Linked DNA regions of Macaca fascicularis. The protein of the gene in region 1 purifies or fractionates together with the protein of each later gene. This does not show direct contact. Links are inferred from orthologs where the notes say so. Each region holds a gene or a part of one and is shown on either strand. Other genes may lie near its edges. The genes, in order: SMARCC1, SS18, DPF2 and BCL7C.

Region 1 (3,569 bases):
GTTTGTTTCCTCACCCATAGATGGGATGATAGCAGACCCTACCTGCAATATGGAGCGATTATGAGGATTCAGTTGTCAGACATACATTGCTTATAACAGTGCCCTGCACACAGTAAAGTATAGATATGTGGTAGTGAGGCAGATAGCCTATGTAACCATGTGTTAGTTTCAAATTCTGCAGTTAACTACCACCATGACCAAGTTTGAATTTATGTTACTTCACATGAATGTCGTTACATTACTTGTTATTATACATTAGTAAACAGTTGTTTTGCATATTTGTGGTTCTAAATTCACTCATAACTTAATATGCAATATAATATCACCGTTTTTTTATGCTCTTGTTTTAATTTATTGTATTTCTAAGGAATCTGAAGATTTTTGAGTTTCTGAGTAACATTGTTTCTGAAAGGATACGTGTCCACCTTATGAATTTTGCCATTGCTTTTTAGATACTTGGCATATCGAAATTTTATGATTGACACGTATCGCCTAAACCCCCAAGAGTATTTAACTAGCACTGCTTGTCGGAGGAACTTGACTGGAGATGTGTGTGCTGTGATGAGGTAAAATGTTTGACTTTTTCTGAGACATTTAACTGTAGGAATTTACTTATGCTTTGCTGTCATATTAAACTGGTTGTTTCAACTGGGTAAAACACCTAATTTTAGTTGTGTCATTTAGGGGTGGATTATATTTTGTTTCCTTTCATTTCATTCAATTTATTTTATTTTTATTTTATTTTATTAATTTAATTTTATTGTCGAGATGGGATTTCATAATGTTGCCAAGGCTGGTCTCAATCTCCTGGCCTCAAGCAATTCTCCTGCCTCGGTCTCCTGAAGTATTGTGATTGCAGGCGTGAGCACTGTGTTCAGCATTAGAGGTTGAAAATTTAAAATATTTAATTTAGGCTGGGTGCAGTGGCTTACGCCTATATTCCCAGCACTTGGAGAAGCCAAGGTGGGCGGATCACCTGAGGTCAGGAGTTCGAGCCTGGCCAACATGGTGAAACCCCTTCTCTACTAAAAATATAAAAATTAGCCGAGCGTGGTGGCACATGACTGTAATCTTAGCTATTGGGGAGGCTGAGGCAGGAGAATTCAGGAGGCAGAGATTGCAGTGAGCTGAGATTGTCCCACTGCATTCCAGCCTGGGCGACAGAGCGAGATTGTGTCTCAAAAAAATAAAATAAGTAAGATAAATATTTAGTTTTCTAGATTTTACAGTTCACATTTTAATTTTTTTAGTCAAATCATAAAATAACCAGGGAAGGAGTAGATTCAGGTTGGGAGTGGATAAACTCTGCGCCCTAGCTCTGCCAAAAAAAAAACAAAAAAAAAACCCGCCAGGTACAGTGGCTCACACCTGTAATCCCAGCACTTTGGGAGGCCGAGGTGGGTGGATCACCTGAGGTCAGGAGTTCGAGACCAGCCTGGCCAACATGGTGAAAGCCTGTTTCTACTAAAAATACCAAACATTAGCTGGGCATGGTGACGGGCACCTGTACTCTCAGCTACTTGGGAGGCTGAGGCAGGAGAATCGCTTGAACCGAGGAGGCTGAGTAGGTTGCAGTGAGCTGAGATTGCACCATTGCACTCCAGCCTGAGAGACAGAGCGAGACTCTGTCAAGAAAAATGTGGATTTTTTCTATGTGTGTATTTGGTCTGTGTGTGGGTTCTTTTATTACCATGGACCTAAATGCGTATTTGTGCTCTCATTTCTGTGATTTAAATGATTAAACTTTGTAATAGGTTTGGGGGGTGCTGTGTTATCAACATTATTTGTGGCTTGTAGAAATTGTTCCCTACATAACAAACAAAATCTGTCAAGTAATTTGTGGTGTTTGATAGCCTGCTGAGCACATTTACTTGTTTTATTGTTTCTGTTTTTTAATGGTGTAATGATGATAATAAAGCACATGAAATTGATTCTTTAGATTTTAACTTTCCGAGCTTTATTCTTTAGGGTCCATGCCTTTTTAGAGCAGTGGGGACTCGTTAATTACCAAGTTGACCCGGAAAGTAGACCTATGGCAATGGGACCTCCTCCTACTCCTCATTTTAATGTATTAGCTGATACTCCCTCTGGGCTTGTGCCTCTGCATCTTCGATCACCTCAGGTAAATTAATGTTGACTTTTCATCAGACCTGAATAGTAACAAATGTCTGTTTATAGCATATCTATTTAGGAATGCTGTTGTTAGTGCTGTTTCTTTGATGCTTGTTTGTATGTGTGTTTTGGTGTACTGTAAATATTACAGTCCAAAAGAATATATAGTGTTTAAGTTAATGCTGTCCCACCAATCCCAAAACCCAATGCCTTAGTCTATCAAATTATTAATTTACTTTTATATGCATAACTCCCTTTATCCTTCTGTCATCAAAAAGACACACATAAGTAAGCAGATGATGCAAAATCTTCTTTCCCTTCCTTCAGTCTGTGTTCTAGAAACGTGAAGCAAAGAAATCTTTATAACTTGTCCTAAGATTTGTAAAGTGGACATCCATATATACATTATCAAACAGATTATGTCAGACAAATTCTGTATAGCATTAAGTTGGATTCACAGGAACCTAAGGTATAAATTTTGTTCCATTGTGAAATAGAATATAGTAATGAAAATTTGTTATCCTTTCTGGACTTAAGGGACACCAAAATGTAACTTGTATGTTGAATTTTTGTTAGAAGTATAGTGTAGAAGTGTGGGTATTTATTGTTTTTCGTAGGAAATCCACCAAGAGTGGCTTAAGTTCCAATATTAACCTTTTTTTTTTTTTTTTTTTTGGAGACAGAGTCTGTCTCTGCTCCCCAGGCTGGAGTGTAGTGGCATGATCTTGGCTCACTGCAATTTCCGCCTCCGGGTTATAAGCAATTCTACTGCCTCAGTCTCCTGAGTAGCTGGGATTATAGTCACATGCCACAACGCCCAGCTAATTTTTGTATTTTTAGTAGAGATGGGGTTTCACCATTTTGGTCAGGCTGGTCTTGAGCTCCTAACCTTGTGATCCGCCCGCCTCGGCCTCCCGAAGTGCTGGGATTACAGGCATGAGCCACCGCGCCCGGCCTAAACAAATTTTAAAAAACGTTTACCCTCTTGACTTTAAAGAGGCTAACTCAGCCGTTTATCATTTATTTGACTCAGGTTCCTGCTGCTCAACAGATGCTAAATTTTCCTGAGAAAAACAAGGAAAAACCAATTGATTTGCAGAACTTTGGTCTACGTACTGATATTTACTCCAAGAAAACATTAGCAAAGGTAAGGATTTTTTTTCTAATCACATGTAGGCTACAATCCAGCACATCTTAGTCCTTCTAAGATACATCTGATGAGCTTTCTACTCAAATCTGATGGTATTTTTAAAAACAATTATGATTTATCTTACCTTTTATATTCCCATATGACTTAGTAGATAGGTATTTTAAAAATAACACTATTAGAGAAATTCGATGGGAAAATGGAGAATTTGAAGAGAGAATTGGAATCTGTAAAAAGAATCATGAATATTTTAGAACTGAAAAGTATACTTGAAATTATTTGATAGGTTTAACAACAGACTGCATACAGC
Region 2 (3,569 bases), on another chromosome or scaffold:
GGGCATAGTACAATAATTACAGTGAAGTAGCATTACAGTATTTTTACTCTTATTGTTACCATCCAGATTTATTTCAGAAAGCATTTGAGGAAATCAAGGTACCAAACTATCTTTTTTAAGTTTAGATAGAAAAATATTGTAACATCTCTCCAGTTCAAATCCTTCCCTGAGTTCCAGGGACTTAACTTGTTATGTGGGTTTTTGTTGTGTTAATTATTTGCAGGTCCTTCACAGGGTGGTCCAGGTCCTCAGTATCCTAACTACCCACAGGGACAAGGTCAGCAGTATGGAGGATATAGACCAACACAGCCTGGACCACCACAGCCACCCCAGCAGAGGCCTTATGGATACGACCAGGTAAGTAGTTTGAACGGCTACAGAATTGCCACATTGTTTGTTCACTCTTGATTAGGTGAACTTTTTTTTTTTTTTTTTTTTTTTTTTGAGACAGAGTCTCGCTCTGTCGCCCAGGCTGGAGTGCAGTGGCACAATCTCGGCTCACTGCAAGCTCCGCCTCCCGGGTTCACGCCATTCTCCTGCCTCAGCCTTCCGAGTAGCTGGGACTACAGGCGCACACCACCAAGCCTGGCTAATTTTTTGTCTTTTCAGTAGAGACGGGGTTTCACCATGTTAGCCAGGATGGTCTCGAGCTCCTGACCTCATGATCCGCCCGCCTCAGCCTCCCAAAGTGCTGGGATTACAGACGTGAGCCACCGTGCCCGGCCAAGTTTTTTTTTTTAAATTTAACTTGAAGCCTCATGTTTCCCTCATGAGGGAATGTTTATGGTACATTTGTTAAAAAGTATGTCACTTTTGAGTCTCATACTATTTAATAACACAGTTGATCATAGTTACTCTGTCATATAAAACATGGCCGTAACATAAGACAACTACATATATCTTCTCTCTCTCTCTCTGTCTCTCTGGTCTTTACCCTCAGGCATACTTTGTTTACTGAGGTAAAATATATATACAGAGTTTATCATATTTACCATTTTTGAGTGTACATACAGTTCAGTGTTAATTCATTTATTTCCCACTCCTTGATCCCTTCTCATCCCTTTTCTTCCCAACCTCTGGTAACCTTAGTGATTTCTATGATCCTCCCTGATGTTTATTGCTGAGACTTTGCCTTGAGCTACTGAGATGTGGAGTCCATCTGTGTTGATGCTTTCATTAGCACTCCACTTCACTCCAGCATATCCACTACACTTCCTTCACACCCGTAATATCCCATCTCTTTAAATTCAAACTTTCCGCCCTCTGTTGCCTCCTTCCACACACATAACTATTGTTTCAACTGTTATTTCTCCTCTACTTGTCATTCTACTTTCAGATATTTAGAAGTGTATCTCATCCTATGATGACTGATTCCCTTGAACCCAGTGTTCATTTAAGTTTCTTCTTTTTGTCATTAAACTCCTCAGACTTGTACCACAGTCATTGTTTTATGAATGTACTTATATATTCTCTGAATTATTATGGAAATGATTTATTATGGCAATTCCTTTAGGCTGGTTTCAGGTTTGTGCTTTTCAGTGAAGGTGGTCTGGTTTGTTCACCACTTAAACTATCTAAAATAGGTTATTTTTTAACATGGAACTGTCTTTAATATGCAGTTTAGGCTTTCAGGGCCAACGTGGGTATCTGGTTTGAGGAAAAACTCAGATGCAGTGGTAACTAGAATTTGAGGCGTGAGCAGTTCGTTTATCAACCCTCTCTCACGCCTGCAACCCTCTTGTATTGGCACTTCTTATTTAAGACAAGGGAGATACAAAAAGCAAGAATAGATAAGTAATATTTTTCCAAAATATACTCGAACAAAACATAAGGATCAGTTGGAGGTTTTATTAAGTTTTAGAAGTGAAATAAGTTGTGGCTAGTGAGTATTTAAAGGCAGGATTCCTGAGCAGAACAAATTTAGGCTTATTCTAATCTACAGCTGAACTTTTTAAAAAGTGAGATTCTGATCATGTATTCCGTCATTCAACAAAAATTTATTCTCCACGTGTTTGATACTGTAGTAGGTCCTGCAGAGGTAAAATAGTCAGCTATCTTGGTCTTCCTTGACCTCACTTTAGCTATTGGCACATTTTCCTTTTTCATTTTTAAATGGTCTTCTTTAGCTTCTATATTTCTGAACCATTTTGTTCCTCTTGCGTTTACATTGGTTCATTCTTTTTTTTTTTTATTGGTTTTCCTTTTTTTTTTTTTTTTACCCTAATACCAGTTCTTGACTCTGTTTTTTTTTTCTAGCCTCTGAATCATCCTGCCCTCTATTTTCAGTATTAGCTCTTACCTCTCAACCCAGTTTCAGCTCCTTTTTATCCAAATGTACAGAACATCTCTTGTCTTTGGATTCCCTCAGCTTTAGCATGTTGTAGACTAAACTCACCATTTTCCTTTCTAAGTCAATGTATTTCCAAATCTCCTAAACTTAAAGCCGTTCATTAAGCAAATGTTTATTGAGCAACCATTGTATGCCAAGTGCCATGTGAAGATTGGGAACATATTGGGAAATAAGATAGACATGGACTCAGCCTTTATGAACTTAAGTCTAGATGGCTACAGGCAGGTAAACATATGATATGATATAGTGTGATAAATACTTAGATAAGAGAAGCTAAGATTTATGTGGAAGGAGCTTCTAACTCAGATCTTGAGAAATATTCCTTGGGAAATATTATATTTAAGTGTGAAGTACCAAGGAAGAGCCAATGAAGCTAATGAAGATTCTGAAACCCAATACTAACATAATTATAATTGTAGTTTAGGCAGATTACTCTTATAGCAATATGCAAGATAAAAGGGGAGAAATTAAAAGGGTGGAAATTGCTACGATACTTCCCCATCGGTCCTCCCTATCCCAATAAACAGTGGCTCCATTCTTCCTGTTCCTCAGGTTAAAAACCTACAGTCCTCTTTGATGCCCCTCTTTGCAAAGCAAACATCTAGTCAATTAGCAAATCTCCTCACCTCTTCCTTCAAAATATATCCAATATCTAGCCATTTTTCACAGTCTCCTTTCACCCAACTGAAAGTCACAACTAGCACTCATCTGGACTGTTGCAATATATCCTTCTTTTTGGTTTTCTTGATTTTATCCTGCCTCCTCTACAAGATACTCTGCACATGGAGCCCAGAGTAATGTTTTAAAGACATTAGTCAACTCTGTGCTTACAACCCTGTGATGTTTTAAGTAAAAGCCATATGATATACTGGCCTACAAGGCCGTATAGGACTTGTGTTCCTACCTCCTATGCTACCCTCCTCGTGCCTGCCTATTTATGTCCCAACTACTTGCTGCCCTAATTCACTCTGCTTCAGTCACACTGGCCTATTTGCTGTTTCTTATATGCATCAAGTGAGTTTCTACCTGAGAACCTTTGTATTTGCTACCCCCTCTTCTGCCTGAATGCCTGCAGTGCCTCCAACCTCACTTTATTAAAATCTCTGCTTAAATGTCACCATATCATCTCAGAGAGTCCTTCACTGACCACCTAACACAGTAGCACCCTCCATTGCATCACTCTTTTTCCCCACCCTTTTCATAGTTTTTTGAACAGCTT
Region 3 (3,569 bases), on another chromosome or scaffold:
GCCTGCTAATCACTACGATATACCAGGCCCAGTACTAGATCCCAAATATACTCAAGTGAATATGATGTGATTCTTTCCTTTAAAGAGCTTAGTCTAGAAGGGGAGACAGGTAAACAGATAAGTTATGGTGCCAAGTGAACTAGGGTGTCTTAATTCCTGGGCATCCGGGGAACAAAAGACAGTGACAGACCTTTGGTAAGCCCTAGCATTATGTGGACTCAGAGCAGTCTGCTTTCAGCCATTCTGAGCTTTGCTTCATCCTGATCTTGCTTGCAGACACAGACCAAACCCTGAAGAAGGAGGGGCTGATCTCTCAGGATGGCAGTAGTTTAGAGGCTCTGTTGCGCACTGACCCCCTGGAGAAGCGAGGCGCCCCGGATCCCCGAGTTGATGATGACAGCCTGGGCGAGTTTCCTGTGACCAACAGTCGAGCGCGAAAGGTACAAGATTATCCCTGTGGCTAAGGGAGCTTTGATGGAAATCAGCCTCCTCTTCACTGGGGCCATGCAGTTTCTAGAACTGAAACAGAAGCTGGGGTCCAGGAAGCAGGCCCCTGCAGTTCTGTTCTTACTTCAATCCCTGGTTATTGTCAGGTACTGACTGGCTTCTCTTTTGCTTCTAAGTATAGACTCTCACTCATTCATCCACTTTTATCACAGAACGTTATTATTATACACATATATAATTTTCATTTAAAAAATTAAAAGAGGCCAGGTGCAGTGGCTCATGCCTATAATCCCAGCACCTTGGGAGGCCAAGGCAGGAGGATTGCTTGAGCCCAAGAGCTCGAGACCAGCCTGGGCAACAAAGTGAGACCCCATATCTACAAAAAGTAATAATAAAAAAAATTACCCGGGCATAGCGGCATGTGCCTGTTGTCCCAGCTACTAGGGAAGCTGAGGTGGGAGAATTGCTTGAGCCTGGGAGTTGGAGGCTTCAGTAAGCCGGGATCATGCCACTGCACTCCAGCCTGGGCAACAAAAAAAAATTAAAACCAGAAGGTACAAGAATAGTACAAAGAAATACCGTATACTCTTTACCTAGATTTATCAGTTTCACATTTTGCCACATTTGCCTTATCTGTCTTTGCTAAACCGTTTGAGAGGAAGATGCATATATCAAAAACTTTTCAGTCTAGGCAACATAGCAGGACCTTGTCTCTACTAAAAATAAAAATAAAAAATTAGCTGGGCATGGTGGCACACACCTGCAGTCCCAGCTACTCAGGAGGCTGAGGTGGGAGGATTGCTTGAGCCCAGGAGATTGAGGCTGTAGCTCTGCTCATGCCACTGCACTCCAGCCTGAGTAACAGAGGGAGACCCTGTCTGGGGAGGGAGGGAAACAAACTTTTATCCCTAAATACTTTACTCTTTTATCACAAAAGTTTGTGTCACAAAGTTTTTTGGTCCCTGAGGTTGCACAGTGAAACACACTTGGTCTCTGCCAACAGAGAAGATAAGACTATATATAAAAATAAGAGCTATAAATATGCCAGCATTGGGCTAAGTGCTTTCTCATGCCCTTTCTCCTTTAGTCTGTACAACCTTATGGGGGAGGTCCTGTGTTCCCCATTTCACAGACAAGCTGAAACAAAGCAGTTTAAAAACTTCCCATGGGCTGGGCACGGTGGCTTACGCCTGTAATCCCTTTGGGAGGCCAAGGCAGGCAGATCATGAGGTCAGGAGATCAAGACCATCCTGGCTAACATGGTGAAACCCCGTCTCTACTAAAGATACAAAAAAATTAGCCAGGTGTGGTGGTGGGCACCTGCAGTCCCAGCTACTCAGGCATGAACCCGGGAGGTAGTGCTTGCAGTGAGCTGAGATCGCACCACTGCACTCCAGCCTGGGCGACAGAATGAGACTCCGTCTCAAAAAAAAACTTCCCATGGCCAGCCACGGTGGCTCACGCCTGTAATCCCAGCACTTTGAGAGGCCGAAGTAGGTGGATCATCTGAGGTTGGGAATTCAAAACCAGCCTGACCAACATGGAGAAACCCCGTTTCTACTAAAAATATAGTATTAACCGGGCATGCTGGCGCATGCCTGTAATCCCAGCTACTTGGGAGGCTGAGGCAGGAGGATCACTTGAACGCAGGAGACGGAGGGTGCAGTAAGCCAGTATTGCGCCATTGTACTCCAGCCTGGGCAACAAGAGTGAAACTCCGTCTCAAAAAAAAAAAAAACTTCCCACAAAGTCACACACATAAGCAACAACATTTTCATTTAAACTAGGAGGCGAGTGTCAGGACAGAACCACCAGTAATGTGCTCCCAGGGTGGCCAATCAGAGGCAGGAGAGGGCATGGCTGCTTGTGGCATCGGGGCAACCTTTTGGAAGCATGCTATTTGATTTGGCCATGTGGCATGGTAGGGAAAGCATTTCAGGCTAAGGAAATAATGTGAAGCACAGGGGAAAGAAATCCCAAAGTATGGAAGGGAGCAGGAGCAGGATTGTAGGGTGCTTGAAGGGCGTTGGTGAGAAATGAGGCTCATTCCCCTGTGGGTGGGACCAGGTCACAGAGGAGGTTCTGGGTGGCCTTGGCCAATCTCATCATAGGGGAGCTTTTGGATGCACATATTTCTACCCATGCTAACCCTGCTGTCCACTCAGCGGATCCTAGAACCAGATGACTTCCTGGATGACCTCGATGATGAAGACTATGAAGAAGATACTCCCAAGCGTCGGGGAAAGGGGAAATCCAAGGTGAGGGGCCAGCGTGCTACCTGCATCTTGGGACAGGGTGGCCTAGGGAATTCCTTGTTTTATTTCAAGTGAGATTAGCAGCCACTTCCCAAAGAGTCTAACTCCTCAGGCCCAGCTACCGCAATAAGGGTGTCTCTTTGCTCTTCTTGGCAGGGTAAGGGTGTGGGCAGTGCCCGTAAGAAGCTGGATGCTTCCATCCTGGAGGACCGGGATAAACCGTATGCCTGTGACAGTGAGTGCCTCACAAGTGGGTGGGTAGACCTTGCCTTGGACCCAGCTCCTGCTCAGGCTATGAGAGGAGGGAGGGTTATGTTTTTGCCCAGAGTATTAAAACAAACCTGGGTTCTTGTCCTGCCTGCTGACTGCTTCCGTCTGAGACCCCTGGGAGGCCTGGGGCCCTGCTATATGACGGGTGGGACCTGCATGCTCTGGGAAAGATTTCTGCCATCTTCTGGGGTGGGGTTGCTTGTGGGGGCCACAGCAGGCAGGGTTGGCCTCTCAAGAGACAGCCTGCAGGTCTCCTGGCCTCAGTTAAGCCAGGGCCCCAGGGGTCTGACACTGAGTTTTTCAACGTCTGTTCTCTTTTTCTTTCTCTCTGCCTTGCCCCGCTTCTGTCCCTCCACCCTGGGAGCACCATCGCCGCTGGGGTTTCTCTCTCGTTTGCTCCGCTTTCCTGCTGATGCTGCTCCTGTCTCAAGTGTATCAAGGCCTTCTTCTCATGACTTTTCTTTCTGTCTTTCAGATAGTTTCAAACAAAAGCATACCTCGAAAGCGCCCCAGAGAGGTAGCTCTCTCAACTTTTCAGACTTGTGGTTTTCCTGTCCCTTTTTCCCTCTTCCCTTGTTCCTCCTGCCTTTCTCATTT
Region 4 (3,407 bases), on another chromosome or scaffold:
GGTAATTCCTGAGGAATTGACTAACGAGGAGCTGTTGGAACTGGAACAGGAACACATAGCTGAAGAAGAGGCAAGAGAAAAAAAAAACTGCAGGAGAAGAAAAACCCAGAAGAAAATTCACAGTGAAGGGTTTAGCAGAAGCTGCTGCAGACCTCAACAAACTCCTTAAAACGTTGAAAACATGGACCCCCACACTGAATGGTTTTCATTAATAGAGAGATATGCTTGTGGTGCATTATCTGTTTACAAGCAAATGTATGATTAAAATAAAAGAAAGAAACCAAGCAAACCACTATGGACATTTTTTGAAAGAGTGATAGTCCCTCAAGAAGAGCCTCAGGCAGGTCCTACAGGAGGAATTCCAGAAGAATGTGTTATCATAGGAGATAACAGCTCCATGCGTGTTACTGCCTCTGAAGACCTTCCAGAGGGGCATGATGTGGAGGTGGAAGACAGTGATCTCGATGATCTTGACCTAGTGTAGGCCTAGGCTGATGTGTGTGTGTGTGTATATGTGTCTTAGTTATTAACAAAAAAGTTTAAAATATTGAAAAATATACTTTTTAAAATAGAAAAAGTTGGCCAGGCGTGGTGGCTCACGCCTGTAATCCCAGCACTTTGGGAGGCCGAGACGGGTGGATCACCTGAGGTCAGGAGTTTGAGACCAGCCTGACCAACATGGAGAAACCCCATCTCTACTAAAAAAAATACAAAATTAGCCAGGCGTGGTGGCGCACGCCTGTAATCCCAGTTACTCGGGAGGCAGAGACAGGAGAATCGCTTGAACACAGGAGGCGGAGGTTGCGGTGAGCCGAGATCATGCCATTGCTCTCCAGCCTGGGCAACAAGAGCAAGACTCCGTCTCAAAAAATAAATAAATTAAATAAAATAGAAAAAGCTTCTAGAATAAGGATATAAAGAAGGGAAATATTTTTGTACAGCTGTACAATGTGTACTTTAAGTGTAATAACATTTATTAATAAGTTTATTGACAAAAGAGTCAGTAAGTTTAAAAAATTAAAAAGTTTGGGTGTGTGAGGTGGCTCACACCTGTAATTTCAGCACTTTGGGAAGCTGAGGCGGGTGAATCACCTGAGGTCAGGAGTTCGAGACCAGCCTGACTAATATGGTGAAACCCCGTCTCTACTAAAAATACAAAAATTAGCCAGCCGTGTTGGCATGCGCCTGTAATCCCAGCTACTTGGGAGGCTGAGGCAGGAGAATCGCTTGAACCCGGGAGGCGGAGGTTGCCATGAGTCGAGATCACGACACTGCACTCCAGGCTGAGCGACAAAGCGGGACTCCATCTCACCAAAAAAAAAAAAAAAAAAATGTATAAAGTTACTAGGTGAGTGCAAAAGTAATTGTTGGAATTTGCCATTTGATTTTGGAATACATTCTTAAATAAATGTGGTTATGTTATACATCATTTTAATGGGCATTTCTCACTTTATTTTTTTAATGACTTATTACTGCTGTTTATTTTACATTTATTTTAGACTATGGAAATGATGTTAGACAAAAAGCAAATTCAAGCAATTTTCTTATTCAAGTTAAAAATGGGTCATAAAGCAACAGAGATACATCGCAACATCAACAACACATTTGGCCCAGGAACTGCTAACAAACATACAGTACAGTGGTGGTTCAAGCAGTTTTGCAAAGAAGATGAGAGCCTTGAAGATGAGGAACATAACATCCGGCCATCGGAAATTGACAATGACCAACTGAAAGCAATCATTGAAGCTGATCCTCTTAAAACTACACGGGAAGTTGCCCAAGAACTCAACCATCGACCATTCTATGGCCATTTGGCGTTTGAAGCAAATTGGAAAGGTGAAAAAGCTCAATAAGTGGGTGCCTCATGACCTTACCAAATATTTTTTAAAAAGTCATTTTGAAGTGTCTTCTTCTCTTATTCTATGCAACAACAATGAACCATTTCTTGATCAGATTGTGACGTGCGACAAAAAGTCGATTTTATATGACAACCGGCAACAACCAGCTCTATGAGTGTACTGAGAAGTAGCTCTAAAGCACTTCCCAAAGCCAACCTTGCACCAAAAAAAGGTCACAGTAACTGTTTGGTGGTCTGCTGCTGGTCTGATCCACTGCAGCTTTCTGAATCCCAGTGAAACCATTACATCTGAGAAGTATGCTCAGCAAATGGATGAGATGCACGGAAAACTGCAAGGCCTGCTGTGGCATTGCTCACCAGAAAGGGCCCAGTTATTCTCCATGACAGCAACCACACATCGCATAACCAACGCTTCAAAAGTTGAGGTTGGGTACGGTGGCTCACGCCTGTAATCCCAACATTTTGGGAGGCCAAGGTGGACAGATCACTTGAGGTCAGGAGTTCGAGAACAGCCTGGCCAACATGGTGAAACCCGTCTCTACTAAAAATACAAAAATTAACTGGGTATGATAGCTGGCGCATGTAATCCCAGCTACTCGAGAGGCTGAGGCAAGAGAACTGCTTAAACCCAGAAGGTGGAGGTTGTGGTGGCTCATGCCACTGCACTCCAGCCTGGGTGACAGAGCGAGACTCTGTCTCAAAAAAAAAAAAAAAAAAAAAAAAAGTTGAACAAATGGAGCTATGAAGTTTTGCTTCATCCACCATATTCACCTGACCTCTTGCCTACTGACTACCACTTCTTCACGCATCCCAACGGTTTTTTGCAAGGAAAACGCTTCCACACCCAGCACGATGCAGAAAATGCTTTCCAAGAGTTTTCTGAATCCCAAAGCACAGATTATTACGATACAGGAATAAACAAACTTATTTCTCACTGGAAAAAATGTGTTGATTGTAAAAATGTGTTGATTGGAATGGTTGATTGTAATGGTATGAATTTTGATTAATAAAGATGTGTTTGAGCCTAGTTATAATGATTTAAAATTCATGGTCCGAAACCGCAATTACATTTGCACCAAGAGTTGCAGTTAGCTAAAATTAATTTATTACTGCAGAAAAAATCTTCTTTGTAAATTTAATGTAGCCTATATATACAGCATTCATAAAGCCTACAATGGTGTACCATAATGTTCTAGGACTTCACATTCGCTCCCTACTGACTTACTAACTCATCTAGGGCCACTTCCAGTCCTGCAGGCTCCATTCTGGTAAGTGCCCTAGGTACTTACCATGGCATACCGTGGTATACCAGCGTGGCATGCCATTTTATCTTTTACGCTGTATTTTTACTGTACCTTTTCTGTGTTTAAATACACAAATACTTACCATCGTGTTACAAAATTATATATGTCACCTATAGTATTCAGGACAGTAACATGCTGTACAGATCTGTAGCCTAGGAGCAATAGTCTATATGATACAGTCTAGATTTGTAGTAGCAGGTTATACCATCTAGGTTTGTGTGACTACACTCCATGATGTCTGCACA

Evidence for each region.
Region 2: the proteins of SMARCC1 (region 1) and SS18 purify together in Homo sapiens (affinity purification with mass spectrometry; 4 studies listed by BioGRID and IntAct, counting the BioPlex papers as one, with this or other methods). This does not show direct contact. The link is inferred for Macaca fascicularis from reciprocal best matches to the Homo sapiens genes SMARCC1 and SS18.
Region 3: the proteins of SMARCC1 (region 1) and DPF2 purify together in Homo sapiens (affinity purification with mass spectrometry; 9 studies listed by BioGRID and IntAct, counting the BioPlex papers as one, with this or other methods). This does not show direct contact. The link is inferred for Macaca fascicularis from reciprocal best matches to the Homo sapiens genes SMARCC1 and DPF2.
Region 4: the proteins of SMARCC1 (region 1) and BCL7C purify together in Homo sapiens (affinity purification with mass spectrometry; 4 studies listed by BioGRID and IntAct, counting the BioPlex papers as one, with this or other methods). This does not show direct contact. The link is inferred for Macaca fascicularis from reciprocal best matches to the Homo sapiens genes SMARCC1 and BCL7C.

Annotation. Positions count from the first base shown.
Region 1 is NC_088376.1:110,605,700-110,609,268, reverse strand, and holds part of SMARCC1 (SWI/SNF complex subunit SMARCC1), read left to right. Parts: intron 1-452; coding exon 453-566; intron 567-1,968; coding exon 1,969-2,122; intron 2,123-3,145; coding exon 3,146-3,259; intron 3,260-3,569. UniProt on the Homo sapiens protein: Involved in transcriptional activation and repression of select genes by chromatin remodeling (alteration of DNA-nucleosome topology).
Region 2 is NC_088392.1:63,745,366-63,748,934, forward strand, and holds part of SS18 (protein SSXT), read left to right. Parts: intron 1-223; coding exon 224-357; intron 358-3,569. UniProt on the Homo sapiens protein: Appears to function synergistically with RBM14 as a transcriptional coactivator. Isoform 1 and isoform 2 function in nuclear receptor coactivation. Isoform 1 and isoform 2 function in general transcriptional coactivation.
Region 3 is NC_088388.1:9,032,663-9,036,231, reverse strand, and holds part of DPF2 (zinc finger protein ubi-d4), read left to right. Parts: intron 1-276; coding exon 277-440; intron 441-2,612; coding exon 2,613-2,705; intron 2,706-2,858; coding exon 2,859-2,937; intron 2,938-3,447; coding exon 3,448-3,489; intron 3,490-3,569. UniProt on the Homo sapiens protein: Plays an active role in transcriptional regulation by binding modified histones H3 and H4. Is a negative regulator of myeloid differentiation of hematopoietic progenitor cells. Might also have a role in the development and maturation of lymphoid cells.
Region 4 is NC_088394.1:29,026,380-29,029,786, reverse strand, and holds the end of BCL7C (B-cell CLL/lymphoma 7 protein family member C), read left to right. Parts: intron 1-1,499; coding exon 1,500-1,853; 3' UTR 1,854-2,883; downstream 2,884-3,407. UniProt on the Homo sapiens protein: May play an anti-apoptotic role.